5 linked regions of the Ovis aries genome follow. The protein of the gene in region 3 interacts with the protein of the main gene of each other region in a biochemical or structural test. Links are inferred from orthologs where the notes say so. Each region holds a gene or a part of one and is shown on either strand. Other genes may lie near its edges.

Region 1 (4,677 bases), about 6.1 Mb from region 3:
TCACAGGTCAGCGGGAGGGCTGCCTCCCTGCAGCCTTTATCTGAGCAAGTATCTCAGCACAGAATGTTCTGGTTGGTGTTTCTTGCACATAAATCTTTATTCCAATTGCAGTAGCTTTGATAGGAAAAATAGGGCCCATTTCATTATGCTTTCACCCTAATCAAATGTCTCTCATGCCAAAGCTCCCTATGTTTCTAATTTGCCCTGTTTGGATTGGGTTGGGGATGGCGGGCAGGCAGGGGAACAGGGAGTTACAGATGAATGGACCCCACCATTTCCTTTTTTCTTTTTTAATCAGAGGGACAGTTTCGGCCTGTTACAAGAAACTAGATCGGCCTTTTACCCTGGGGGGAAGAGGAAGGGTAGGAAAGCAAAATTTTCATCCCTATGTAAGTGCTCCAAGTGAAAAAATTCTGCGCCTTTGGGGAGAAAACAAAACACCAAACAGACAGAAACGTTGCAGGGGAAAGTGGCACCTTGAGGATGGACAGAGCCCTGCTCCACGCTGTACCTGGAGTCCCTGTCACCTCCAACTATCTCTAAGACTCTCCTGATACAGCCAGTATGGATGAGCACTCCCCCAGCCTAAACACACACACAATCCAAAAACCCAAAACAACCCAGGCAACTACCCAGGGTGTTGGATTTCTTAGAGGCCCAGGGATCCTGATGCTGGTAAAGATGACATACCTTCCTCCTCTGCTGTGATCCCATCATCAGACCCCCTGACCCCCTGTCTTTCTCTTGTCTAGTGTTCTCTGTGAGGGAGGAGCAGAGTCCTCACCCCTCCTCCGCCCCTTATCCGGCTGTTTGTATTGGTTCTCACTCATTTTTGTCATCTTCTCTGCAGGTCCCATGACCCCATCCACCTTTGGTCACTTGTGGAAGTCACCCCGGTAGGAATTTAAAAGTTCTTTAAAAAAAAAAAAAAAGGTTCTTTTTGGTCTGGTCTCTGGCTCCTGTGACTCTGGACTGATGCTGGGGCCACTGGAAGTTGCTGTGGGGCCGTGAATAGGTGGCAGGAGTGTTAGAGGTCGTCATGTTTTCTGGGGGGAATGGAGTCTTTCTGCAGGAAGCTACCGGGGAATAAATTGAGGGCCAGTCATTAGAACTAAGGCAATCTTAACATGTAATCAGATCTACCTTGACAGGCCTCCTGAGATTATTTTGTTACAACTCTTTGAGAGAGCTTTTCAGCAAAAAAAAAAAAAAAAAAAAAAGCAGATCATCCTCTCACAAAAAGAGCCTGCCTCAGTCTTTGGTGCAAGTCTCCTCCTATCCATCTAGTGAGCCCTTCCAGGACCCAGCCTGGGCCCTTCTGAGGTGGGAGGTAGCTCTATGCCCGGCAGGGATCTGCCTTCTAATGAGGCTCCATGAATTTCCCCAAATGAAGCAATCAAGGCTCAAGAATCTGGGCTGTGGGGCAGGTAATCCAAGGATTAGGTATCTTTGGCTCTGGAATGCAGAACAAAGTTGCAATCCAACAGACGTCCCTTCCTAATCATGCCCGGCTTAGGCTAATATCTGAACCCAGTTAGCTTTCCCTGAAGTGGCACGGCTGGCTGGGAGTGACGGGTCGGTGAGGGTTACAGGTGTGTCTGAGAGAAAGAGTAAGATACCCCAGGTGGCTCAGTGATAAAGCTCTGCCTGCAATGGAGGAGATACATGAGATGGTGTTTCAACCTCTGGATCGGGAAGATCCCCTCGAGGAGGGCATAGTAACTTACTGCAGTATTCTTGCCTGGGAAATCCCATGGACAGAGGAGCCTGGTGGGCTACAGTCCATGGGGTCACACAGAGGGAAACACGAATGAGCGCACACACACTGAGAAAAAGCCAGGGGGTACTGTGGACCCTCCTCCCTGCAGCCTCCGAACCAAGACTTGCAACTGTCACCCTGGGCAGAATGACTGGAGGGCCAGCACACAAGCTGCTTCCAAAAATTTAATAAATAATGATTTTTTAAAACTGTATAAACTATAAATTACCATGCAGTCCTTATAATTTAAAATAATTTACAGGTTGAGGTAGGGAGGGGCGCAGGAGAGTGTAGAGGGGAGCAAGGAAGGGTGGGGGCTGCTGCAGGTCAGGCTCTCCGCCCAGTCTTCCTGCTGAGCACACACACGCAGGCCGTGTCGATCCGGATGAACCGCCAGGCGGCCTGCTTGCCGTCCATGGTCAGCGCCTTGACGAAGGTGTGGGTCGTGGTACAATACGAGTTCCAGTGCTTCGCGTCGATGCCTCGGCACCCGCTGTCCACGGGGTTGGGGTCCCGGCACTTGGTCTCAAAAAAGTACTGTTTGAATACACTGTTGTTGATGTTCACCTCTCCCAGCACCATCACCTCCTTGCCCTTGATGTCCGTGGCGGTTGTCTTGTCCCCCACCCACACGCTGACGCTGTCGCACACCGAGAACTCCCCCCGGTGAAAGACGGGGTGGGATGACGACCGCTTGCTCCTGTGAGTCCTGTTGAAGGAGGCGGCCCCGCCCGCCTCGAAGTCCAGATCCTGAGTGTCTGCGGCCACAGGTGGGGGCTGGGTGCTGAACAGCACGCGAGGTGAACGCAGTCGCCGCTTTTTAAAAAGTTTGGGGTCCACAGTGATGTTGTGGGTCTGCCCTGCCACCCTGGCGGCTATCGGCCCAGCCTGGGCGCTGTGGGCTCTGCGGAGGACTGTGTCAAGGGAATGCTGAAGTTTAATCCAGTGGGCTTGAGGGATGGCGTGTCCAGCTGGGACATTGCTCTCGGTGTGCGGTGCTGCCTGTATGCCGATCAAAAGAGCTGTGATCAGAGTGTAGAACAACATGGACATTACGCTATGCACCTGGAATGAAACAGAAATGAGGATTATTCCGCGGGGCGCTGAGCGTTGGATGAGGGTGGTTTCTGGGTACTTCGGAGTTGACCTTCCCAGAGGATGACAAGGAGGCTTCCCCTGGTGGCTAAGGGCAAGGTGACCCTGGAATTTCAAACTGGGACCCTTTTGAGAGTGAAAGGCGATGCTATGACTGTAACGCTAGGGTGACAGGCTTAAACAGGGCTGGCTCAGACAACCTGGTGTCTGGGCACCTCATCTAGAAGGGGTGAGCTTTTCCTGGAAAGAACGGACAGAGTCCCAGAAATTCTGCCCAGTGCTGTGGTATGAACTGGGTGGTACTGCTTAAAGAGTCGCTCGAGTTCTCCACCCGCCAGTGAGGCAGTCTCACCACGGGCAGGTGGTGTGTGTGCAGCAGAATGGCTTGGGGAAGGTGAGTCTGACACCTCTCCCAGCGCTGTGGCCTGCCCAATGGTTTGAATTCCCTGGGAAGGCAGTGGGAAGGGCTGCTGGGGATTTATCTTGAAGCCTCAGCCTTGAACCCACCCTCTGCAGGTAGGAGCACCAGGTCAGCTCTGAGATTTGATGATTGAAAATCCAAACATGCCAATCCATGTCTGGCAAAAAAAAAAAAAAAAAAAAGTATATAGCTCTGGGACGTCTGAGCCAGTCTAGCTATTCAGCCACCGGTGCATGCCTGTAATATTGATAATGTTTTCTCTTTTCATGAGTGATGTTTTTCAGCTTTTCAAATGCATTCACTTCAAGTTTCTTGTTAGCTTGTGACTTAGGTTAGGATTTATCATCTCCCTTTCATATGCGAGGAAAGTGATCCACAGAAATGAAGTAACAGGCCGACAGTTACAAAAACTGAACCAGAAATAGAATCTAAACCTGACCCCTTACTAAGCCAGTCTACCCTTCCACCCTTCCTTCCTCCTCCACTTTCTCTTTCATTTTTAAGTGTGTCTTTTCAAAAATTATTTAATCTTAAGTGAGAATAGACCAAATAGTGTAAATCATCTGTCCCCACTAGCAGTACAGGCTCCTTTTGAGCTCCTGCCAGATGGGACTCTGAACCTAACTGTACTGACTTGCCTACCAGCGACCACCCCCAGGGCAACCTGCTGTGAAACTAGCTCCATTCTTGAGCTCACTTTTGATGAGCTCCTACACACACTTGCAGATGTGTATCAGATGTTACCTCCTCTGGGAAGCTTCCCCAGATCTTCCTGGTAGGGTTAGAGGCACCCCCTAGACAGGGTGTTAAACTTCCAATGCACTCCCTCCCCATATCTCTCCCCCAGGTCATTCTGCTCTCTGCCCACTCTTCCAGCCTGGCATGGGTACCATCTCTTCCTTGAGACCTTCTCAGATCACCCAACCAATAGCCATCTCTCCCCATTCTCAACTTCAGAAGTGTGTATTTGTTCTTTTCTACTAAATCAGTGTAATGAGAAGAACTCTGCACTGGACCTAGTGTTAGTCCTGTTACTTGTTAGCAGAAACCTACTTAATGTTTCTGAGCTCTGATTTCCTCAATGATAAAAAGCAGGCAATAAACATTATTTCAGGGCTTTTCTGGTGGCTCAGCTGGAAAGAATCCACCTGCAGTGCAGGAGGCATGGGTCCATGGGTTTGATCTCTGGGTCAAGAAGATAACCCCAGGAGAAGGAAACGGCAACCCACTCCAGTATTCTTGCCTGAAAAAATTCCATGGACAGAGGAGCCTGATGGGCTACAGCCCATGGGGTTGCAAAGAGTTGGACACGACTTAGCAACTAAACCACCACAAACTCTATTTCACAGGGCTGTTGTTAGGATTAAATAGGTGCTTATACACCTATTTGGAGAAGGCAATG
Region 2 (6,396 bases), on a different chromosome or scaffold from region 3:
CTGCAGGAAGGGGACCCTCACGAGGTCGGGCTTGGAGGCACACATATATGCGTGCCTGCGCATACACAGGAGCAGGAAGGCAGAGGGAAACCTCTCGGGGCTAGAACCTTCAGTGTGAGTAGGAAGACGGTGTGGAGAGGAAACTGAAGCTGCCAGGCAGGGTGAGGACTTGCGGCAGAGGTGCCGGGGCCCCACTCGCCCTGACTTCCCAGGCTGTCCGCCTGCCCGGCTGGGCAGACACTGAGCAGCGTCCTGGCTGCCCCCCTGGAGGTGCTCTCAGTCGGGCCCTCGCCTCCGCTCCCGTCAGAGGCCCCAGGAGGGCAAGAACCTGCCTGGAGGACACGGCTGCAGGTCCCTGGGTATTGGACCCTTTCTGCTGCTACTGGAAGGGGGGCGGACTTAATTTCCTTCTCAGAGAGTTGGATGCTGGTGACGGAAGCGCCAGCAAGGCCTGTGTGTCGCTTCTGTGCCCTGTAACCGTGGCGAGGCTGCTGAGCAGATCTAGTGACTGGGCAGCGCTCAGGTTTTCTACAAATGAAAATCACATCATCTGCAAACAGAGCCTTTCACCTCTTCCTTTCTGATCTGGATGCTTTCTTTTTTTTTTTTCTTTTTCTTGCCCAGCTGTTCTGCCTGGAGCTTCCACTCCTTGTTGAATAGAATAACCTAATTCTTAAACAGGCAAAGGACTTGAATATAAATTTCTCCAAACACCACACAGGAATGGCCAAGAGGGACATGAACAGACCCTCCAGATCGCAGATCATCGGGAGGAATGGAAACCCCACGAGAGAGACCGCCTCGCAGCGGTTACAGGTCGGTTACTCTGGAGAATGGAAAGCAGCCCCTGCTGGGGGGTAACAAAGGGAGCCCCGCGGGCGACTGGTGGGATGCAAACGGGCACAGCTGCCGAGGCAAACAGCGAGGAGGCGCCTCAGAAACGGAGACAGAGGTGCGGTACGACCCAGCAACCCCCGCCGGGCACTGACCCAGGGCCTGAAGCCAGAATCTCCAAGAAAGACCTGTGCTCCCAAGCTTCTTGCAGCACCAGTCACAACGCCAAGTCACGGGAACAACTCAACCAAGATGTCCATCGAGGTAAGGAAAATTCGGGACAGACCCACAGCGGACTACGAGCCTCAAAACAGAAGGGGAACTGGCCCTCCGTGAAGACACAGGCGCTGGGGAGATAAGCCAGACGTATCTGCAAACACTTCTCCACAACAGTGCTTAACACGAGGGGCGGAGAGTGGACAAGAGGCAGACGAGAGCGAGTGAAGGGCTGGTCAAAGGGCGCAGAGTCAGCCGCGCGGCTCCAGCGAGCCCAGAGACTCGCTGCTCAGCGTGCCCCTGGCAACCAGACTGTGCCCATCTGCTGTTCAGTCGCTCAGTCGTGTACGACTCCTTGCGACCCGTGGACTGCAGCCCTCCAGGCTCCTCTGTCCATGGGATTCTCCAGGCAAGAATTCTGGACTGGGTCGCCATGCCCTTCTCCAGGGATCTTCCCAACCCAGGGATTGAACCTGGGTCTCCTGCAAGGCAGGCGACTCTTCACCACTGAGCCACCTGGGAATCCCATTTAAAAATTTGCTAAGCGGGGGGTGGGTGGGGGTGCGGGGGGTGGGTGGGTGTCGATCTTAGGTTCTTACCGCAAATAATAACAAACAAACAGCTCAGGAGAATATTTGGGAGGTGGTGGGTGTGTTTGTGGGCCTGTACACTTATCTCCAAACTAATTAACAACAGAACTTTTCAGAGGTCAATCATACCTCAAAAATGGTAAAACAAAACAACAAAAAGCCAAAACCAACAACCAACCAAAAAAAAAAAAAAAACCACTCCTGGGACCCAGTGTCCACGCACAGTCAGCTCCAGCCACAGCCCTGCACGCCGACCCTGGACCGAGGTAGGAGCCACACCCTGGCCCACAGAAGGACTGGCGACAGTGGACGCCTTCTCCCACCCTGAGCACACGCCACGCAAGACACACCTCACGTTTAGAAGAAAAGAAACGTGATGTTTTCAGTCAGTTCAGTCGCTTAGTCGTGTCCGACTCTTTACGACCCCATGGACTGCAGCACGCCAGGCCTCCCTGTCCATCACCAACTTCCGGAGTTGACTCAAACTCATGTCCATAGAGTCGGTGATGCCATCCAACTGTCTCATCCTCTATCGTCCCCTTCTCCCGCCTTCAGTCTTTCCCAGCATCAGGGTCTTTTCTAAGGAGTCAGTCCTTCGCGTCAGGTGGCCAAAGTCTTGATGTTTTCAGAGACCAAATTATCCCAAGAACAAAACCAAAAGGCTAAGAATCAAAAGTGCCTCGTGCTGGCCCTGCCTCCTGTCTGGGCTCGGCTCTGGGCGGGGAGTGCTGACCCTGGGACACGGGCCCACTTGCGGGCTCCTGCCACCACCCGAGGAGCTTCTGGAAGCTTCTCCGGCTAGGAAGGCTGGGACAGGCCAGCTTGTATTCCACAGGTCTGCTCAGGGAGCCAAAACATGATGCCACCGGGCATGAGCCCCACCCTGAAGACCTGTGTGCTTCGTTCAGCAGAAAACACCCGTACACGCAGTTCGAGAGTTTCAGGGCCGAGAGGCCCAGGAAAGACGTCTAGGCCAAGGCCGGCCCGCAGTGCTGGGGTTTCCAGAGAACAGAGGAGGCCCTCTCAGACAGCTGTGACCTGAGACGGACCAGGTCAGCAGTGGACTGCACACGGGGGCGGGGAGGGTCACTGAGGCGCAGCTGGAGGGCGGGCGACGGCCAGGAGGCGTGAGGAGGCTGGCAGATGCAAAGCGGCGTCTGGACAGACAAGACGGGGCTGACCAGCACCGCCCTGCGGGCAGGAGGGCTCCGGGCAGGTTCGCGGGCCCAAGCGCCCCTTCTTCCAGGAAGCCCTCCGGCCTCTCCAACCCAGAGTGCTCTCTCACCAGGCAGGCTGCGCACACAGTGGTCCTGACAGCTAGGGACCCCGAGCGGAACCCTCAAGGGCACTGGCCTAGGAGCAGTGCGGGGCCTGGGAGCTAGGGGCCTGGGAGCTAGGGGCCTGGAAGCTAGAGGCCTAGGAGCAGTGCGGGGCCTGGGAGCTAGGGGCCTGGGGTATCTACTGGGCCCTGACCGCCCCGCAGGCCGCTCTGTCCCATTCCTCCCCCACCTTTCTTCCCCCTCAGTTTCTTTTCTTTTCCAAAACTTAGTCCTCACTTGGCTCTCTTTCAAGGACTCAGGAATGCTTAAAACTGGAAGACTGGAGCTGACGAGACTCCATTTGAGAGATGAAGACAGGAGGCCCAGAGGCTGGGGAACTTGTAAATACCCATTTCTCTAGAAACACCCCGCCCGAAACAGCAGGGACTGTTATGTTAACGAGGAAGCTGCTGGCAAGCTGCCTCCAGGCGGAGTGACCTTAGGGGCGTCCTTTGCCCTCTGGGCTTCGAGGAAGGTCCCGTTCAGTTCACTTGAGTCTTAAGTTTCAGGTGTTATCCTCCCACCACATGTGAAAGTGAGTCGCTCAGTCGTGTCCCACTCCTTGCAAATTCTCCAGGCCAGAATACCGGAGTGGGTAGCCGTTCCCTTCTCACCACATCCTCTCACCCAATTTATCAAGAACCTGTCTGCTTCCAGGGTTTCTGTATCCCTGACTTGTCCTCATGACCAGCATCACCCGTTTCCTTGTTTCTCCATATAGGGAAACAATGTAGAAAAGGCAAAAACCTGCAAGGCAGGAGACCTGGGCCTGCCCGCTGGGAGGGAATCTCGGCCTCAAACTGACGGGGCAGCCCCTCTGCCCAGGCCAAGGCCTCCTGTCTTCACCTGTTATCACCAGGCCAGGGTCCCTGTTCCCTGATGAAGAGTACAGGCAACGTAGTAAGAGGAACTCTCACCTGTATGTGCGGGCGAGTCTGAGGCTGTCAAAGGCTCGAGGCCCCGGCCAGCAGACCCCAGAGACGGAAGAGACCCCGGCCCGGGCTCTGCGGACCCCAGGATCAGAGGACGCCCTGCCGACCCCCGAGAGAGAAGAGACCCGGGCCTGCGCCCCGCGGACCCTCGAGACTGGAGACCCGGGCCTGCGCTCCGCGGGCCCCACGATCAGAGGACGCCCCGGCCCGCGGAGCCCCGAGGTGGAGGGAGCTGGCCGCCGCTTACCCGCTGGGCCTTCTCCCACAGCTGGTTCAGCTTCTCCATGCGGAACTCCGCCGCGGGCTCGCGCTTCGAGGGCGGCGCGGGCTCGTTCTTCTCCCGCGAGTACTTCCCGGCATGGCCTGCAACAGCCCACGGCGCGAGGAGCAGCAGCAGCAGCAGCGGCGGCGGCGGCGGCGGCGGCGGCTGCCGGACCGCGCGCAGCCCAGACAAGACCCTCCGCGACGCCATCTTCCGCCTCTAGACGCGGAGCCCCGGGAGCTGCGGGAACGAAAAGGTCGCGCCCCGCCCACCGGGCTCGCCCCGCCCACCGGGCCCCGCCGCGCTGCCTCGTGGGAGTTGTAGTCCCTCCCCGGGCGGCCGGCCCAAAAGGAGGCAGCGAGCGGACTACAAGGCCCGGGGCGCCCTGCGGAGGCACGGCGCGGGGGCGTTTCCTAGGCAACCCGACCACGGCCTGGAGTCTCCGGGCGCCTCTGGGGCTGAGTGTGGCTCAGTTCAGTCGCTTAGTCCTGTCCGACTCTTTGCCAACCCACGGACTGCAGCACGCCAGGCCTCCCTGTCCATCACCAACTCCCGGAGCTTACGAAAACTCATGTCCATTGAGTCAGTGATGCCATCCAACCAACTCATCCTCTTTTGTCCCCTTCTCCTCCCGCCTTCAATCTTCCCCAGCATCAGGATCTTTTCCAGTGAGTCAGCTCTTTGCATCAGGTGGCCAAAGTATTGGAGCTTCAACGTCAGCATCAGCCCTTCCAGTGAATATTCAGGACTGATTTCCTTCAGGATGTACTGGTTGGATCTCCTTGCAGTCCAAGGGACTCTCAAGAGTCTTCTCCAACAGCACAGTTCAAAAGCATCAGTTCTTTAGCACTCAGCCTTCTTCATAGTCCACCTGTCTCATCCATACATGACCACTGGAAAAGCCATAGCTTTGACTAGACGGACCTTTGTTGGCAAAGTAATGTCTCTGCTTTTAATATGCTGTCTAGGTTGGTCATAGCTTTTCTTCCAAGGAGCGAGCATCTTTTAATTTCATGGCTGCATTGACCATCTGCAGTGATTTTGGAGCTGAAGAAAATAAAGTCTCTCACTGTTTCCATTGTTTCCACTGTTTCCCAACATCAGGGTCTTTTCAAATGAGTCAGTTCTTCACATCAGGTGGACAAGGCACTGAAGTTTCAGCTTCAGCATCAGTGCAGCTAGGGCGGCCCTAGCTGGGACGGGAGACTGCCGGGGGCTATAGGTGGGTCAGAGATCTGATCTCCCATCCTGGATTGACCCCCACAAGGGCGTTTTTCCCTCAGCTGCACGGGAAGAGGAAACAGTTCAAAACTGGAGACTGTGTCTGGCTGACACCTTAGCTTGTTTCTGTGTCCCCTGCCTCGGTGTTGAGCCTTCACTGTCGTTAGGAACTCTGGAAATTGGCCTTGGCTGGCACCCCACCGTACATGTCTCTGTCAGGAAGCCTAGATACCCCCTCCCAAGCCCACTCCTTCCCAGGGAGCCACAGGTGTTCCCGCCTCCCCAAAGCTTCCCCCTGCCCTCTAGCGAGTGCCTGCACCTCAACGCCAACTTTAAATTGCACCCCCTTCTCCCCCCCGCACTGGTTCTGTTATTAGAGATGTCTGTGTACCTGTTCTCTCTCCCCACTTGCCGTATTCTAGTAAACAAACCTGAATACAGCCAACGTGCTAGGGCCGCTCTCCCAGCGGGGAGACTGGGGGCAGGCAAACAGTGGGAACCAGACGGCGGCCTCGAGCAGCTTCTGGGGTCAGGTAGAGGCACCCATGGGGGTGCTTTGGTGCTTCGAGGCGGAGCCGCGCAAGCCACGTCTGGTGAGGATGGTGGACCGGGCCTGAGAGGCAGTGCCCCAGGGAAGAGAGCCAAGCGTAGCTTTCTTGACATGAGAGAAGCCACTGTAGGCCTAGGCCATGTTGCCATCTCAGCCTGGCCACAGCGCTGGCCTGTGAGGAAGAGCAGGCCTCGGGAGTGAATGACTTTAAGGAAACAAAAGCACGTGAGAGCAAACAGCTATTACCAGGCCAGGGAAGTAATTTAACAATTTAACTGGAGATAATGCGTCAGTCCTGGCAGTTTAGTCTGTACGTTGTGTCTGACTCTGCGACCCCATGGGCTGTAGCGCGCCAGGCTCCTCTGTTCATGGGATTTCCCAGGCAAAGAATACTGGAGTGGGTTGCCACTTCCTTCTCCAGAGGACCTTCCTAACCTAGGGAATGAATCCTGACCTCCAGCATAGCAGGCAG
Region 3 (5,817 bases):
AAAGAGTATGCCGGAAGATAGGCTGTGAGGGGAAGCCGTGGCTGTCACAGGAAAGAAATGAGGGCGTCCAGACGGGGGTGCTCAGGAAGATAGCGCCCTGGACAAATGTAAAGAAATGACAGGAGAGGCCAGCACAAAGGAGGAAACATGATACATTTTGAACATTTTTGTTTCTTTTAGGTTCTGTCAACAGATTTATGTGGCAGTGTTCAGCAAGTATTTGGAAATGTAGGATTAGAGCTCAAGAGAGGTAGAACCTGGAAGTTTTATTAATTTTTTAAAATTTTTATTTCTTTGTATTTTTGGCTGAGCTGGGTCTTAGTTGCTGTGCACAGGCTCTCCAGTTGTGGCGAGCAGGGGCTACTCTCCATTACAGTCTGCGGGCTTCTCACTGAGGTGGCTTCTGTTGTTGCAGAGCACAGGCTCAGTAGTTGTGGCTCCCATGCTTAGTGGGTCCAAGGCATGTGGACTCTTCCCAGACAGGGATCAAACCATGTCCCCTGCGTTGGCAGGTGAGTTCCTCTCCACTGCACCACCAGGGAAGTCCAAACCTGGAAGTTTAGTTGCAGCCAGTCGTTAAGCTCACGAAGGGAGAGCAGATACAGAGTAAGAGAACGAATAATAGAATCTTGGACAACGTCTGCACCTGCGTGTTAGGAAGAGAGCAGAGCCAACAGTGGCCAGAGAAACAGATGAGTGCAGCTCTCGGGTGCAGCGGGTGTGGCACAGCGGCGTGCCAGCGGGCCCAGAGTGGACAAGACAGAGAAGCCCCCAAGGCTGGGTGACTGGTGGGCCTGCGGGGGCACAGACATTCATTTTCAAGGCTGCAGCGGGGGGTTCAAGCCAAGATGCCGAGAATAAAAAGTAAATGAGTAAAACAGAACAAGTAGAAGAGAAAGTTGGCCAATAAGGGAGAGAGGGTGGTGAAGGAAGAGGACAGGTGCAGGCTAAGGAGAAGTGGCAGGGTGAGGGGACTGGCGGCCCCTCCACGCTGTCCATGCAGCAAGCCCCCACCTAGGGGCACGAGGTGCCAAGGCCCTGCATGTCCTTTCTTTGGGGAAAGCAGAGCACTATGGAGAGATGGGATGGGATGGAGGGCAGGGATGGGCGTTCACATTGGCGTCAGGCACCATCTAAGAAGCTGAGAGGGACACAGATGTGGGGAAGGCAGGAAAGGTTTGATATACACTCTCATGGGTATGACATAATGAGTTATTTGGAGATGGAAGAACTGCTAAGTGTCCATGCGTTTAGGTCTGTGGCTGACGCACTGTTTCTCTGTGTCTTAGTTGCGTGTATCCCCACCCCCTATAGACTGCACGCTTTCCCTTCCCTGAACGTGAGCTGTCTATGTGGAACCTCCTAGCTACTGAGTCCTCAGTCCACCAGGCCCAATCTATAAGCCATTCCCCCACCCCCCCTCCGCCCCCGCACCTCCTGCCAATTAAGCCCTGTCTGTGTGATTTTGTTCCTAAAGAGACCTCTTTATATGTCACAGACTTCCTTAGCTGCTTTCTGGCAACCCACGCCTGGAATATTAACCATCCTCTGCCCCACATAAAACCTTCACTGCTATTTGCCTCCTTTCAGCAACTTCGAAAGATACATTTTTTGCTGATTCTTACAGTGATTTTGGCTACTTCCGTCCAGAAAATGACTCCAAATGTGTGGAACAGCCAGAACTGAAGGGCCACGACCTCGAGTTTTGTTTGTATGGAAGAGAAGAGCACCTGACGACAAGCGGGTGAGGCGGCTTCTCCTCCCGTGTCGGGCCTGCGTTTCCCCTGTGCAGGGAGAAATTGCCCTCCACGCACTTCCGAGTACTTGAGAGAGTAGAAAATCACTGTCCGGTAGAGCCTCCTGTGATGGGGTAAATGCTCTGTGACCTGCTGTGGCCCCTAGCCCTCTGTGGCTGTTGACACTGGAGTGAGGAACTGAAGTAATTTTGATTAATTTAAAAGTAAATAGTCACCATAGCAGAGAGTGCCATTCTAGAGGAGCCTGACTGCCGACTCCCCTGATGACTCTCCCCTCCCCTGTATCTATACTGCATACTGACGGGCTTTCCCCGGCAGTCTCATAGGGCAGAAAGTCGGCATGTCATGCAGCATGGCAAGGGATGTGTGGTCTGTCCAAGGACCGAAACTACACAGCATATCCCCCCAACACCCCTGTGGATCTCCCCCAAGCCCTGAAAGACGGTGTAAGGACCAGAAGTTTTTCTGCAGCTTTTCAAATCTTGTTTTCAGGAAGTGAGCAAGAATCCAGAAGTGCATCCTTGTATTCTGTCAACACCTTTTCTCTGCCCCTCAGGTACCGGAAAATCCCAGGAGACAAATGCCAGGGTGGCGTGAATCCAGTTCGAGAAGTGAAAGACTTGAAAAAGAAATGCACAAGCAACTTTTTGAGTCCAGAAAAGCAGGTGTGTTAAAGTAGATCTAGTGTAGATACAAGTGGGGTTTCGAGTTCCGCCAGGAAGGTCAAAGTTGCAGTGTGTCGAGAACTTTATCACCTAATACAAGTGGCCAGACCACTTATGGCAGGTTTCCCGTTGCACAGGAAACTGTTAGGATGGAAGGATGGTCACTTAAGCCAACAATAAGCTCATCTACTGAAAACTTTTTTGGGGGAGGGAAAATGGTGCTCAGTATTTATCCAAGTCTTAGAAGCTTAGGGTTGAGAAAAATTCTGAGGCTCAGAGTCACTTAGAAAAAAGACTCAACAAGTCCTGCCATCAAGGGCTGGGGTTTTGCGCATGTGGAAGGGAAGGGCATGAGGCCCTAATTAGTGGGGATCTCTCTGCCGAGTCTGTCAGGTATGTTCATAAGGAAAACCTGCACCGCGGTAATAAGTGGCTGGTTTTGATTTAGAAGCAAGTTTGGGGCTGATTCCAGATCTGTAGCACTGAGCTGTCTGGCCAGGATATGGGGATCTGGTAAGAGGAACCCTCGTGATAAAGAAGCACTGGCCCAGCAGTGTGACTGGGAACAGAAGACTGTGGACCCCAGGTTCCTAATCTGGAAATCAAGAGATGGGCAGTCTGCAGTCCCTCCTGTCTAACCTTCTCAGGACTGAGGGCCTGACGGGGTGGAAGAAGGCAGGGGGAGAAGAGTGTGTGGGTGTGTGTACTTGTTGGGGGCAAGCTCCTGCTTCTCTGCATCACTGCCCTGCACTCCTGGTGGCTGTCCTCAGAGTGTTTGTGTGTGTGATTGCACAGGACTCCCGCCCACAGGGACACAGCTTGTCCCAGAATCCAGCTCCGCCTCCTCTGGGATACACTGAAAACACACACTCCCTATCTCCCACCCAGAAGCAGGTAGGTCACACTCAAACAACAATATGACAAAGCTTATTTATAACAACATACGAAAATTTAAAAGACGAATCTTGGTATCATGGGAGGGCCTGCCTGACAAAGCATTGGCACAGCTCCTCCCCAGGTGATGGCCCTATGCTAGATTCATTCACCCACTTACTGTCACGGTCTCCTTCTCTGCTTCACCCTTAAAAGCGCCAAGACTTAGAATCAGTGGTCATGGCGAACAGCCACAATTATATTTGATCTAGGTAATTACCATAGCTTCCAGTGTAACTTCGACATTAAAGCCCCGGAGTTTGCACTATTCTGACAGCTTCAAGGCAGCTCAAGTTTCAGTTACCCTCTGCCAGCTGTGGTATTCTCCTGGTAACACTGAGATGGTCATCTTGAGGGGTTTGGGAACATTTCATCATTAGGTGCCTAGAGACTGCAGATCGTTGAACAGAGAAATGAGAAATTGAGCAGCCTGTTTGAATTCAGTCCTGGAATATGCACACCCAAAATTGATTGTGTGTTTGTGTTTTAATTTATCAAGAATTCCAAGTCAAATTCTGTTCCAATTATCCTGGCCACTGTGGGATTGATGCTGGTCACAGTCATAGCAGGAGTGCTCATTGTGAAGAAATACGTCTGTGGTGGAAGGTAAGGAACCAGAATCAGTCACACCCACAAGTCAGCCAAGGGCAGAGCCTGCTGCTGGCGAAAACTGACTAGTTGAAGTGACGTTACTGAAACATCAGACTCAAATCTTTCCTTCCATTTTTCATATGCTAACTATAGGCTGTGCTTCTTGTATGTGTGACTCATTCCATGAGTGTGTAAAACTTGGAAAGTCCACAGCCCTATAAGAAATGCATTCTTCCTCACCACCTGAGGGTTGACAGCAGTTTCCACCCCCAGGTTCCTGGTGCATCGATACTCAGTGCTCCAGCAGCACGCAGAGGCTAATGGTGTGGATGGTGTGGATGCTTTGGATACGGCCTCCCACACTCACAAAAGCGGTTATCATGATGACTCAGATGAGGTGAGACTGTTTCTTCTTGAGGGGTGGTGCAGAAGTTTTTAAAAGAGCGATTCTTTTTTTACTTATGACCAAGGTATGTTTGAAGCAACAGAGGGTTTAAGCTGGAAGCAGCAACTTAATGACTAAGACTTGGCCAACCCAGAAGCTACCTAATGGCTTTCAAAATAAGGATTAGGGATTTTTTTTTGGTCTGTAAATAATATGGCCCATGTCTTTTTTTTCAGGACCTTCTGGAATAGCTCCTCTAAAGAGCTGGGACTGAGTATGAATGATGGATCCGCAGTACCTCCTACACTCCCTGTGGCTCCGACTTAGGGAAATAAATTTCCCATTGCGAAGGACCCAGCTCTGTTTCTGCTGCTTCCATCAAAGCCAAAAGGACCTACACTAAAGAAATAGTGGGGTGGGGACCTGAAACACTCTTGCCAGTTGGCTCGAAGAAGAGAGGGGAAATTTTTAATTCTTTAACTTTACGAGTTCTGTGTTTTTGCAAGGTATGGGCCCTTTTTGGTTTTGGTTTTTAAGGGAAATGAAATGGAATTGAAGGGAACTTTTCACTAACCCCACAGTCGCATGTTTTGTGTGGCGCCTACCCCAGGGCACCGGCCAGCTTTGTCATCAACTCTCATGAAGCCCTCGGTGCCATCCCTGGGCTGTGCCATCCCTGGACAGTGCCAGCACCATGAAGCAGCTGCGGAGATGAGCAGAGAGGCTGCGATGACTGGCACAGCCTGGGCAGCCTCTCTCTCTCTGGGGCCAGCCCCACTCCAAGAATAGTGCGCACCAGCTCCTCACACAGTTCACTGCTTTTTGTTGTTTCTTTCAGGAGCGGTAGGCCACAGTGATTTTTCTTTTCCCCTGTTTAATTAGGCAATACCCTTGTTAATTGCCCTTTGGCAACTAACTTACATGTGCTTCCAAGACACTAAATCAGGAAAACTTAAGGGGCAATATTTTTAACTTGGGGCAGGAAGAAGGGAACAGCAGAGAACTGACTAGATTTAGCACCTATTAAAGGAGAAATTCTTGCTTCTTCCAAGATCTTTCAAGCCATGCCTTATGTGTGTGCCAGTGGGCTTGCTCAAGGATGGGGCTCAAAGCTGGGTACCCAGGCTGAGCAGCCTCTTCACTGGAGCGGCTGGTGGCATGCACGGCACAGCCTCTGAGGACGACTCATCCGTGAAGCATTAGAGTGGCTGCTTATTCGCTTCCTCTTAGGTCGCTGCTCTACATGGAGCCGTGACTAGACATGTGTTCAGATTCAGGCTTTAAAAAAAAGTTCAGTTTTGTTACCAAGTTCTCCTCCTTACCCCTCCACTTCCCCAGCTTTCCCAAGTAGTCTGTTGGCTTGAAACTTTGAGCCAAACCAACTGAAAAACACACTTCTAGTGCAGATTGATGTTTTGTGTGATACATTAAGTTCATATCTTAAATTTAATAAAATGTTCCCTTTGACATTTTTTTTTTAATGACA
Region 4 (6,530 bases), on a different chromosome or scaffold from region 3:
CTTTCTCCCCTTAAAAGCAACAGCCCCTCTCCCCATTTCCATAGGATTCAATATCAGTAAGCTCTCACTAAATGTTAATGTTTATTGTTATTTATTAAATGCCATGAAGTATCCTTTACATGGATCATGGCATGTAAATTTAAGAGACTCACCGCTTGTTAAATTCTCTAGAAACACACAAACACATCCATACACACAAGTGCACACACACACATACACACAGCAGTAGCAGATCAGCAGAGAAAGACACCAGCCAAAGAAAGATAATTTGAGATACTTCTGAGGTAGCAGTTGTAAAATTAAAATAGGCAACTCATTAAATTATCCATAGAGTGAAAAGAGAGCTACAAAAATAGATATTTTTCTGGCAAGTCAGTGCTTTTTAGAACAAATTTAGTTTTAAGCAGAATCTTAAAATCAGATTATATCAGCTCATATTCACTAGAATCAGTTAAATGGTTAGATTAGCTTTTCCTAATTAAAGAAAAGGATTAGCTTTCCTGGCTTTTGATAGAAGTATATTTAATAAAAACTATGTTCAGTTAGACATCATTTTAACTGACATATTGTAAGCAGTTTGATTAAATGAATGTTATTTGAGCAAGTTGGAGCCTCGTCCCTAAATCACAGAATTAGAAATAAAAATCCTTTGTAAGTCATGCCACAGTGATGATTTTTTCCTTGTTTCTATTTGTTGTTTTTTTGTGGCTTATTATCTATTTTGTGGTCATCCAGGCCTTTGCCTCTCACATTGCCTGATACTGGAATGTTGTTTCTTACTAAGCTTCCCCTAGAGGACAGGCCAGGAAAAGGAAAGAAACTAAATTTCACTAGCTTCTCCTCTTATTAAGAATACAGATTACAGATTCGAGAGGGAAAGAGTCTGGCAAATGAACGAAGCAGCATGTGAATTTTGATTTTAGATATTTTAAAGGTATTCTTTCCAATTTACAGATAGGCAATTTTACAAACAATATTTTGTAAGCCAACAAGAACTTGCTTTTAAAATCCCATTTACTGCCTTACCATATACATTAGATGATATTTAAAAATAACTAGCACTCTGGTTGAAATGGAAATGCTGTAGGCACAGAATGACATAGTGATACCTCCCCCTTATGGAGTGTCTTCTTCCCAGTTTGCAAAGCTCTTTCAGACATTCTCTTCTATCCTCCAAAAATTGCTGTGTTGTAGGTCTTACTATCAATGACACTGAAAAAGCTACAGGCAAAATGAATATATTTTCATCTGAATCAATACTGATATATTCCATTGGGGGAGCTAGACCAAGCTAAAGTCTCACACACAGAAATATTAACATGCAAGACCAGGGGGCACAAAAGTAGGCTAGTTTACTGTTCTTTTTTTTTTTTAAGGTCAAAAATACCCCCTTCCTCTTTCTTCCCCTCTCCTCTTTAACACCTTCTAATGTTCTCTCTAGTTTCAAACAGGACAGTTGAAATTTCTTGCCTTCCTACTGAAGAGCTCCATGTAAATATACATAAACAGTGAGGATCAGGTGCACTATTCTTAAAGTGATACTCATTTTCACAACACCAGGCGAAACCATTTCACCTACAAGTCAAGGATATGTATGTGAGCGCGTGTGAAAGAGGATGACGTGACACTTTTGAGGTTTAAGTTATGAAAGATCTCGAGGTTACAAGAATTAGGTAAGCATTTTCCCTCTTTGTCTCTCGAAGACTCGAAATCTACAATTTTCTCCATTTGACTGTCAGATAAATTGGCAAGTCGACTAAAAGGATAATATTCCCTTAACGGTGCATTCATTTGAAGCCCTAGCAACTGTATTAGGCAGCAGCGAGTATTCGCTAGCAAAGCATTTCGAGGAGACAGGAACTCTGCAATTTAGAGTGACAGATGATTTTTTTCTCATCCATCAAACCGCCTCAAAATGTCACAATATTTACACCTCTTTCTTGGTGAATTAGAATCCAGAGACAGGCAGACGAGGAAAAAAAAAAATGCCGACCGGTTGCCGCTTGATTTGGGGAAAAGCAAGTGTTGCACCTTTAAATTCTGCCCCTCCATTCCCCGTTTCCCCCCCTTCTCGGGATTTTGCAATAAATCTCCCAGTTCTGCGTTCAGCCCTGCAGATCCGTATTTAAAACAGCACCATCTGGGAAGGGTGGGCGGCGACGGTGATGCGGACTCCTTGGAGTTCCTTTGCAGCACGCTTGGAATTGCATCAGACTGATCAGAAATCCCCCCGCCCCCAAGCCCAGCCCCTCCCGCCCCGTTCCCCTCCCAGTCCCTCCCCTCCCCTCCCTGCGCGTAGATCTGACTGAGAAAATGACTGGATCTCGGAACAATCTGTGCCCCATTCGCTGCAGGCTTGCTCCGTAAACCCTGCCCAACGCTCCCTTTGTGTGCGTAGCAGCCTATCACCGTCATCTGATCCTAGTGCCTGGTTGTTTTTTTTTTTCCCCCTTCTAAATCGCCACAATATCCTCGCGTTGCCTATGAATCCATTCTTTTCACCTGAGCAGAGTTGGAATTCTTTCTTTTTCGTTCGCTAAAACAGTCCAGTGAGTTTCGGAAATAGGTTTTCCCCTACGCTCCCCCACCCCCACCTCAAGCCTTGTCTCTTAATTAAAGAGGGCTGATCCAGGAAGGAGGAGTCCAGAACGCACAAGCCCTGGGGTGAAAATTACCACCCGGCTTGGCTCGGAGGCCGGAACAAAGGGGCCGGGAAGTGGGTAGGTTGAGGGTTGTAGGAGTGTGGAGAGGCTGGTAGCCCCTGCGCAGGGGCGCGCAAGTCCCTGGACTCCCAGAGGGGAGGCAAGACAACGCTGTCGCGCTCTCCGGCCGCTCTCTGTCCCCCCGGGACCGAGGAGGGGAGGTGGAACGGAGGACTGGGAGGCTCTGAGCAGCTTTGACCACCCCCGCCCCCTGGCCCACCCGGGCGGCGGCGAGCGGGCCGCCCTCCACACGCGCCTCCGGGTGCAACCTCGCGGTGGCTGGGCGGTCTGTGCACCCAGCTGATTGGTGGCTGGGTCCAGCCGCCGCGCGGAGCTACTCGTGTTCTCCTCCTCCTCCAGCCGCCCAGACCCCATTTCCCGGCCCGCTCCCTGGCTCTTCGGCCCGTAAAGGACATCTCCTCCCAAGTAGAGGCCCCCTTTTCCTTAGTTACCCCTACTGACTCGGACCTGGGCTCAGAGAGGCATCCAGTCCGGCGGGGGAGCGGAGCGCGGTCTCGGAGGCTCCCCTTCCCTTGAGAAAGCGGGAGCCCTCTAAGCCAGCACCCGAAACTCGTCGGGAGGGAGGAAAGAAGGCAAGAGGGGGGTGAAAAAAAAAAACAAAAAACAAAAACAGAAACATCCAGCCAGGCGCGAGGGCGACGGTGGGAAAGAGAGAAAAAGGAAGGGACGGAGGCAGGAGGAGGGGGCGGGGTGGAAGAGGGGGGGCGGGAAGGAGGGAGGGGGAGAGAGAGGGAGGGATACAGAGAGAATGAATCCTTCTGCCTAGAAGAGCTGAAATTACCTTGATGTATTTTGTGTTGGAGATTTAGCGTTACCTCCTACCCTCTCCCAACCTCCACCGCCCCTTTCCTCACCGCACACCACCTCCACCGCCTAATTCTAAATGGTACAAAGTCAAAATTTAGGAAATCGAATGTTGGGTAAAAGCTTCATAATTAGTAATGAACCTACTGTACACACACACACACACACACACACACACACACACACACCAGCAGAGAACGGAAAAGAAGGAGATGAAGGGGAGAAAAAGAGAAATCTTACATTTGAATCAGACATTTGCAGGTCCAAGTTAACTAAACTCATTATATCCGCAGGAAAACTGAGCTTCCCCACCCCCCTTCTCGCTTTACCCCAAGGCTCTCACCTAGGGCAATTCAAACTGGGCAAATACCAAGAAACAACCCCCCTCTCACACTCTCCGTCTACTTCCTCCCCACCACCGCGCGTCCTCTCGGGAAGATCGAGTATCAAAATAGCTCAAAAATTGGGGTTGCAGGGGTCCCCGCCCCGGTGCTTACCTTCTTTGCGGCTTACACCACCCCGGTGGCTAGATCCTGGAGATAAACACTTGCATTTCCCAAAGTTAACCCAGTATACCAACCCGGAGCTTGCCAAGAGTCTATTCCAGCCTACACCGCTAGGAAGCCAACTTCAGCGAGCTCAATGAGGGGACCAAACTGGGGCTCGCTTTCCAAACGCTCCGCTCCAAAATCTGACTCTCTCTCCAGCCCCGATCTCAGTGTGAGCCGAACCTCCGAAAAGACGCTTCTTAAGGGCGACACAGGGCTGGCTTACTGCGGGGCCGAGACAGCTACCTGGGGTACAACCACCTAAGACAAATCCGTCGGCTCTGTCCAAGGTGCTGAATGGGCTCGTATCTCCAGGATTACACACCCGGCGCGGCGGGAGGAAAAGACTAAAAAATCTGTAATTAAGTGATATTTGATATTGCTCTAGACGGTTTCTTCCACTTCCTTACGTTTTGTCACGTGCGGATGGCTTTGCCAAAGCCATCCTGTTAATAGTTGATCACATGTTGATGAGACCCTTTTCTCCTATGAGAGGCTTACCCATTTCATTATCGGCAATATGCCCTTCTGACTTATTTCTCTCCCACCAACCCCACCCCCATCTGCACCCAAACTCCCAGTCTTTATCCTATCCTTACCCCCACTCCACCCCCGACCCCAAACTCTAAGAGCATTATTGTTTTAAGATGGAAATTAATCTTCTTGCGAATGTCAGTTACATGCCCACATATAAATCATAGAATATGCTCATATATCACACACATAGAAGCAAAGAACCGAATGCAAGAAGGCTGGGAGAGAAGCATCAGCCTTGAACAGCCAATATAACACACACACCCTCCCTCCAACTCCAAGTTTGTTCCACGCAGTTCCACATTGCTGTGTTAAATCTCAAATGATTCCAATTAAAGTTGCACTATGTAAAAACCCGATTCTCCTGGCCTGAGTAGCTGCTGTTCTTTGGCGTGTGAAGTGCTAGGAAGAGCTGTGATATGCCCGTTGTTAAGCAACATGTCAAGATTTTTCAATTATAATGCAGGGTTTATTGCTACTCACCATTGTGCCTCTGCTGTCCTGGAGACTCAAGTGTCTTAAAATCCCGTCTCCCCAACAGATGCTGGAAGGTAATGTGTCTTGTTTGAAGTCATCATGTGAGAAGTTCGGCTTTGCTCAGTGGATCGCCCACCACTTGGTGTGACTTATGAATCTAATAACCCTTTGCAATATCCGCAAGCTTAAACTCTCAACCACCTTGGCGACTACAGAAGACAAAGCAACTCGCATCGATGTTGGAAAACCTATAGATTTACGCAAACGCCCTCACTCCGAGAGACACGTTTCCTTTCGAGTTCTTACGTGATTCTAATGAATGAGCGAGGTTACCAATGACTGTCCAAGTGCCCTGCTATATAGCGGTGGTTCCCAAGGCTGCCTTCCAACCGCCGGTCACTGGGTCCTGGCACAGAAAGTTCCCGGGGAAAGTGGGGAGTTTCAGGGTACCCTCATGTAAATAACCCAGCCTGCACACTGCTCCCTTGCCCACTGCTCAGGTCACACCTGGGGCTCTGGCAAAGCTGAGCTCGACTCGGGAGATTTTCCTGTCGCCAGGTAAGAAAACCTTCGCCTAGACAGGCTAGGGCGGGAAGACCGCTGGGGAACTTGTTGCTTATCAGCGCCAGAAGGCTACCGCTTTAATAATTCCAGAAAAACGCAGGGGGAGGGGGGCGAAAGCGGGGGGCGGCATCGACGACGACTATCCGTGCTGTTTACGTGACCAACTTACTGTGACTCCTTTGGTAAAAAGGAAACTTCTTAGAAAAGTTCGTACCCCTCCCCCTTCCCCCAATGACTAAGGGTCTCCAGCTGATGAGGTCGTGAGTGACGATCAAGTCGGAGGGGCGGGGGCGATGGGGGCTAAGCGGGGAGGGGGTGTGGGTGAGTGACTTGTCCTTGGGAACAACCACATGCGCGGAAGCGCGCAGGAGCCCGGCAACTTTCCCTTTCCCTCTTAGGGACTGATGACTAGGCGAGAGGCACCCGAGCGAGCCACTAGTTGCCCACAGGAACCTGTGTAAATCGAGCTCTCGAGCGGCCGAGTTGAATGAAGTTCTGACTGCGTTTGCTGTAATGGTTATGGCTTCTCCAATGTGAGTTAACAGCGCGGGTGCGCAGCTAGGTCGGCATGGCGCACCGCGAAGTGTGGAGCCGCGGGCAAAGGCAGGGAGGGGTGCATCCGCAGCGGTTTGACGCTCCGCGTCCGCTCGGTGCTTCTTCCCCGGAGTCGCTTCCGCATCATCCGGGGGCTCCCGGGCCATCAGGGTGCCCGGGTGAGAGCGACGGGGAAGCGGAGCGGCGCTTGAGAAGCCGGAGATGGGATTGAGCTCCGCGAGAGGGGGCTCTCCCAGGAAGCCCCGCGGTTAGCACCCGCGCTTCCCGCTGGAGAGGTCACGTGTTGGCGGAAAGTAACTTAGAAGGGATAGAATGAACTTCAAGG
Region 5 (5,817 bases), on a different chromosome or scaffold from region 3:
ATATGACTAAGTGACTTCTTCAGAGCACCCCTAGCCTGGCTGCGCTTTCTGTCCAGTCTCAAACCCCATTTCTCCTCATTGGTCTTACCCAACTACCTGTTGTATTACAGCTCCACTCTTCTGCTCCTTTTCTTTGTTGCCTGAAATGTCCTTTATCCTCTGAGCATCTCATCTGCAATTCAAATCCTACCCACCTTTGCCTCAGACACCATTTTCTCCTTGAAATTTCCCCTTAACCGAAGTTAAATGTAGGCTCCTAACCCCTAGAATTTCATATTTTGTCTGTACTTATCTCATGGCTGTTAAAATATATTCCTTCATGGTAATCAATAGAAAGATCTTAAATTGTTACTCCTTAGTGGCAGAGACCAAACTTTAGTCAGTGGTAAGTCTTTCATAAAACTACACCATGTGTTTTACAGATAAAGTATTAAAATGTTTGTCGAATGGCCAAATGGCAGTTATATCAGTAGACTAGACTTGAAATGAAAATGCTCTCTCCTTCAACAGTTTGGCAGCTGTCTTATACTTAGTGGGCACCAGATATCTGTGGAATGAAAAGTGGGGGGATGGATGGGTGGGATGGTTGAATGAACGGATAGGAGCTCTGAATCTGAGCTTTAAACAACCGTTTAAATGGTGTACTTTCATGATCCTCATTTCTCCTCTTCTCAGCCCTATTGCTCCCTACATCTTCACCTTAAGGTCTCTGAGAATCCCTACACATCAGGGATCATCGCCAGCAGAGACACAGCCCCCAGCATCATAGTGGCTTCAGGTAAGCAGCTTGCCTGGTTTGCTCACTGCTATAAATTGTATTTATTTTAAGAAGCCCAGTAGCTGTGCTTGGAACTTAATGAGCAAGCTAAAAATATTTTTGAAAGGCACCTAAGCCACCGATCCTGAAGCAAGTATGCTGAAAACCCCTGCTCAGATAGTGTTTGCAGTGGAAATCCACCTCGGGCAGTGCACACTGCCAGCACAGACCATCGTTAGCTTTTGCAGAAAGTTCTCTTCACTAATGGTGATGTGCTCTCTCCAGGTAATATAGGTTCTGAGTTGTCAGACAGTGACATCAGCATGTTTGTCTCTTCAGATGCGGGAAACACTTGGAGGCAGGTAAGAAAGTATCCTGGTTAAGTTACTGGTGTTTAAATGTGTTAAAAACTGTCCAGATTGTTTCAGTTCTGGGAACTTAGTCACACATAAATCCTAAAGCTTCTCAATGTGTTTATTTCCTTTTTTGTTTTATGCATGGCTTACGGAAGTTCTGAGTTCAACAAATATTTATGAAATTTGATTTCTTTGCGTGATGAGTGAGCCTTTGCATGCATGCCTAGTCACTTTCATCATGTCTGACTCTGTGCAACTCTATAGACTGTAGTCCGCCAGGCTCCTCTGTCCATGAGATACTGTAGCCAAGAATACTAGAGTGGCTTGCCATGCCTTTCTCCAGGGGATCTTCCTGACCCAGGGATCAAACCTGGGTCTCCTGTATTGTAAGAGGATTCTTTACCGTCTGAGCCACTAGGAAAGTCCTAAAAAATTGACACTTTATCACAGCCTATATGTAAGAAAGTTTAAAAGTAACAATGAAACCAAATTAGATATGACTGAATTTTCCCCTTAAAAGAAAGCTGGAAATCTAGAGAGTTTATTATGTAGGGAACATGAAGCCTGGAAGGGAGATTATCTATCTAATGCCGGGTTACTTCTGTAAATTCCTCTTGCCTTGAAGTCAGAATAGAGGAGAATGCAGTGATTCAGAAAAAGCCATTACCCAGGTGGTGCTCTGAGATGTTTAAAGCTCATGTGCAGAAGACAGAGTAATAAGCATCAGGGCGCATATGTTAGGGAGAGTAGAAACGGAATCACTTTCAGCCAGTGTGTTTAGCTTAAATGCTTCCCCTTTCTTCTGAATGAAAATTAGATACTCCTAGCTTATAAAACAGGCGCTTAATGAGGTTTAGCAGTCCTAACAAAATAGGTGCCTAATGCTTGGTTGTTACACTTCAATAAATATGCTTTAATAAGCCACTGACATTTAATTATCATACAATAACTAGCACCATAAATTGAAATCTAATGCACAGGTAATCACATAGCAGTGAGAATACTGCGCTTTAAATTTTAGACAGAGATGCCCATGTTACGGTCTAGTTACCATCTCCTAGCTTCATAGATCTGCACTGTGATTCACATATTTTGAGAAGAGTGGGGCAGGAAAGAAACTTGCTTAAGAAATTCCAGGGGTTTTGATCTTGGAGATATATGCACTCAGTCACTCAGTCATGGCCAGTTCTTTGCAATCCCATAGACTGTAGCCCTCCAGGCTCCTCTGTCCATGGAATTTGCCAGATAAGAATGCTCAAGTGGGTTGCCATTTCCTTCTCCATGGATATATATAAGAACAGGCATTATTAAGCTTCCTATGGACAATAGTTAGAGGCCAGGGTCACATTTTTTTCCTTCTAACATCTCAAACAAAGCAAATAAGTCTCTCCTATAGTCCTGGGGTACATCTTGAATGTAAGAAGTAGACAGAGTGGCAACAATTATGTCTATAGTGTAATCACAGACAAGACTATACTAACAGAGTGACTGTGAGAAAAAAAGATGCATCTTGTATGGGGAGGTCTTAGAAATTGTCTCCAGCCAGTCTGCATTTGACCTCAGATTCCTCCCTCCACATACAGAAAGAGACTCGATGACAATGTACCCAAAGGTATGATCTCGTTTTGATCAGAATTACTCTATGACTCACTAGAGAATCCGTGAGTTGAACAGGAACATCTGTCCCCTGTAACACTTGGAAACTTTGAAGTAATTGCATGTGGAAAGGACACTGTCTTTCGCCCCGTCCTGGCATCATCCATTATCGTCTACCTGGTCCTAGGCAAGTCACCACTTCTTTCTAAACCTTCGTTTTCTCATCTGTGAAAATGAGAGTATTGGAATAGAGTGTCTCCAAGGTTTCTCTGATCTAAAGATGTGACCCAGTGTAACCGTTGCACAAATGTCAACATAATCATAAATGGAACCCAATAGAGCTCACCACAAAATGACAGAAATAGAAATATGAATACATAACTCTTCATCATTATTTAAATTTCTCTTGTGGAGCACCTAAAATCATTTTATGGAACTCCAGTGGTACATGTCACCCACCTGGGGAAGCATTGTTCATAACTGTGTCTCTCCACAGATTTGGGGAGACCCAGTTCTATCATGCCTACCAGGCTCCCCCATCCCTGGGATTCTCCAGGCAAGAATACTGGAGTCTATGGGGTTGCACAGAATCGGACACGACTGAAGCGACTTAGCAGCAGCAGCAGCAGCAGCAGTTCTATCATGGGGGCTCATGGAGAGATTATTTTTCCTCAAATGAAGACTAATTCTCTGAACCCTGGGTGTGTGTGTGGCGGGGTGGGGGGCTGTGTATGTGCTTTTCCTCTTCCAGATCTTTGAAGAAGAACACAGTGTTTTGTATCTGGATCAAGGTGGAGTCCTGGTTGCCATGAAGCACACATCTCTCCCAATTCGACATCTCTGGTAAAGGCACCTGTTGCCCCTAAATCCTGTACCCAGGCCTGGTTGCACACAGCTAAGACCAGTCTAAGTCAAGCTGACAGACGATAACTGTGCTTGGAGTAAATTATCATGGTCTCCTGGAGTATAACTTATACCTTTGCTTTATTATAAGAAGCAAGAGGAAAGGAGAGAGAGAGAGTGAGAAAGAGAAAGGAGCTTACTTCTGCCCTTTAGAGAGGAATTATATATGGTTTTGGAATGTGACAGCTCCCCTCTCCCCCATCAGTACCTCCAGCGCCGCACTCTTCCAGTACAGTCATGGGTAGGATGGTTGTCAAGGATAATCTCTGAATAGCTTAATTTCTCACAGCCACCTATCCCAAATATTGTCTCCTGAAGTTTAATGTTTGCATTCACTGTGTTCATTCTGCACAGAGATCAGCAGTGCGTGTCACTTCTGCTCTGATCCCATTTGGCCTCATTTTTGCGGGCAGGAGAGGGTGGTTTTCTGAAACTCTCCCTGTCGGTCTTCTATAGATGAACATGCAAGGCCTAACTTCCAGAGGGGTTTTCAATAGATTCCTTTATCTGTGTTTTTGAAAATGGCTCTCTCCACAGGCGGGTTCATTCAAAGTGAGAGGCTTGATTTTCCCTCCAGGGTTGGTTTCTTTGGTGGACCAAAGGGAAAGCTGCAGAAATAAGAGAACCAGAGGCTTAGCCTGAGGGAAGGCATCCCAGAGAAAGGCAGAGGAAAGGAAACAACATCCTGTATGACCATCAGAGATGCAGAGTCCTCTCTTACTTTCAAGAGCCTGTTCTGCACCCCGTCGCTCAGTGGGTCAGCCAGGATTTGTAACAATGTACGAAGGATACCACTAAGGGTTTGATCACATGGAGGTGGCTGATTCAAGTCCATCACAGTGGTCTCAGAAGGTGACTGTTCTCAGAATCACCTGCAAGCCTTGCTGCTAGATGACTGCAGGGTTTTAGAGAGGGTCACATTGAGATCTAAGACCTAATAAGATATCCAAATTAAAAAAAATTCTATCAGCGACTTACCATTCCCATTTCATACAGCTCTCCACTGATGTTATAATACATCTGGGCCCCAAATCACTTGGCTAGCTGTATATCCACCTTCTGATGTAATTAAGAACACTTATTCATATCAAAGGCTCACTTTGACAATGCCCCAGGTACTTCTAAAATATATTCTGTCCTGGTTGGTAGTATCTTTTCTTTGAAAGGATTTTCTTTTGAGAGCCTATGACTGTTATTTTTTTCTGTCATCAGGTTGAGTTTTGATGAAGGGAGATCTTGGAGCAAATACAGTTTCACATCTATTCCCCTTTTTGTGGATGGGGTTCTGGGTGAACCTGGGGAAGAGACTCTCATCATGACGTAAGTGGAAAACCGTGTTGTCTTCTGGTCTTCATAGAAATCCAGAAACGTGTGGTTTTTAGCTGAGCCTGTTCGCCTTGCTGCTTTCAGTTTTAAAGTTGCTAGCAAAGGCAGTGCATCTTACTTCATGATTCCCTAGCAAAGAAGAAAGAACAATGCAGGCATCCATTTCCTTGGCTCTTTGCTAGCTATTAGGAGACCTGTACTGTGGACTGGCAGCAACGTGGTACAGCTTATTTCTTCCTATACGGAATGAGCTTAGGGAAATTAGACGGGATTTTTTTTTTCAATAGAAGTTAAAGCTATTAATTTAAAACTTTAATTATAAACACGCTTGATATACAGACAATCACAGGCATATAAGAATGATTTCACTTTAAGACAGAACACAGAGCTTGATCACAACCCCACAAAGGATGTTATTTTTCCCTGGCTCTTTACCTAACCCAATTGTGAGGCATATTAGGGGAACCACGAGAACAGTCTGTTCTTGTGAAATTACATTTGCGCTCGTTCTTGTCTGGAAAGTGATGATCATTAATTTGTGAAAGGCTTGATTAATGGCTTGCCTGCCTGTGGGTTTCAAAACATGAGCTTTGAATTTGAAATATGAAACTCTGATTTTTTCTTCTCCTGGAAAAACAGAAGTGGAAAACAGAGAGGGAAGATTTTAAAGCAGTTGATCCCGTCGACAGTGAAAATTTTTAAATCAAAGTGAATAGTTGTTACATTTTCTGATATTTTTTCTCCTTTTTTAACAGTAGAAAAGAGCAACAAAAATTAATATGCCTAACAGTTACACTTTTGCCCAGTGGGTTAACCATTTATTATAATTTATCTTTATTCAGTTTTTATATTTACAAAACACAGATGAAAAAAGCTGAT

The links.
Region 1: the proteins of SORT1 (region 3) and NGF form a complex in vitro, tested with the Homo sapiens proteins (3 studies listed by BioGRID and IntAct, with this or other methods). The link is inferred for Ovis aries from reciprocal best matches to the Homo sapiens genes SORT1 and NGF.
Region 2: the proteins of SORT1 (region 3) and LRPAP1 form a complex in vitro, tested with the Homo sapiens proteins (4 studies listed by BioGRID and IntAct, with this or other methods). The link is inferred for Ovis aries from reciprocal best matches to the Homo sapiens genes SORT1 and LRPAP1.
Region 4: the proteins of SORT1 (region 3) and BDNF form a complex in vitro, tested with the Homo sapiens proteins (2 studies listed by BioGRID and IntAct, with this or other methods). The link is inferred for Ovis aries from reciprocal best matches to the Homo sapiens genes SORT1 and BDNF.
Region 5: the proteins of SORT1 (region 3) and SORCS1 form a complex in vitro, tested with the Homo sapiens proteins (2 studies listed by BioGRID and IntAct, with this or other methods). The link is inferred for Ovis aries from reciprocal best matches to the Homo sapiens genes SORT1 and SORCS1.

Annotation. Positions count from the first base shown.
Region 1 is NC_056054.1:92,651,693-92,656,369, forward strand, and holds the end of NGF (beta-nerve growth factor), read right to left. Parts: intron 2,825-4,677; 5' UTR 2,813-2,824; coding exon 2,087-2,812; 3' UTR 1,932-2,086; downstream 1-1,931. UniProt on the Homo sapiens protein: Nerve growth factor is important for the development and maintenance of the sympathetic and sensory nervous systems.
Region 2 is NC_056059.1:116,078,640-116,085,035, reverse strand, and holds the start of LRPAP1 (alpha-2-macroglobulin receptor-associated protein), read right to left. Parts: upstream 4,379-6,396; 5' UTR 4,364-4,378; coding exon 4,139-4,363; intron 1-4,138. UniProt on the Homo sapiens protein: Molecular chaperone for LDL receptor-related proteins that may regulate their ligand binding activity along the secretory pathway.
Region 3 is NC_056054.1:86,585,886-86,591,702, reverse strand, and holds part of SORT1 (sortilin), read left to right. Parts: intron 1-1,627; coding exon 1,628-1,744; intron 1,745-2,313; coding exon 2,314-2,422; intron 2,423-3,217; coding exon 3,218-3,316; intron 3,317-3,854; coding exon 3,855-3,961; intron 3,962-4,219; coding exon 4,220-4,385; 3' UTR 4,386-4,567; coding exon of another isoform or gene 4,568-4,582; 3' UTR 4,583-5,817.
Region 4 is NC_056068.1:57,195,665-57,202,194, forward strand, and holds the start of BDNF (brain-derived neurotrophic factor), read right to left. Parts: upstream 4,250-6,530; 5' UTR 4,025-4,249; intron 1-4,024. UniProt on the Homo sapiens protein: Important signaling molecule that activates signaling cascades downstream of NTRK2. During development, promotes the survival and differentiation of selected neuronal populations of the peripheral and central nervous systems.
Region 5 is NC_056075.1:27,058,211-27,064,027, reverse strand, and holds part of SORCS1 (VPS10 domain-containing receptor SorCS1), read left to right. Parts: intron 1-675; coding exon 676-778; intron 779-1,042; coding exon 1,043-1,119; intron 1,120-3,460; coding exon 3,461-3,552; intron 3,553-4,824; coding exon 4,825-4,932; intron 4,933-5,817.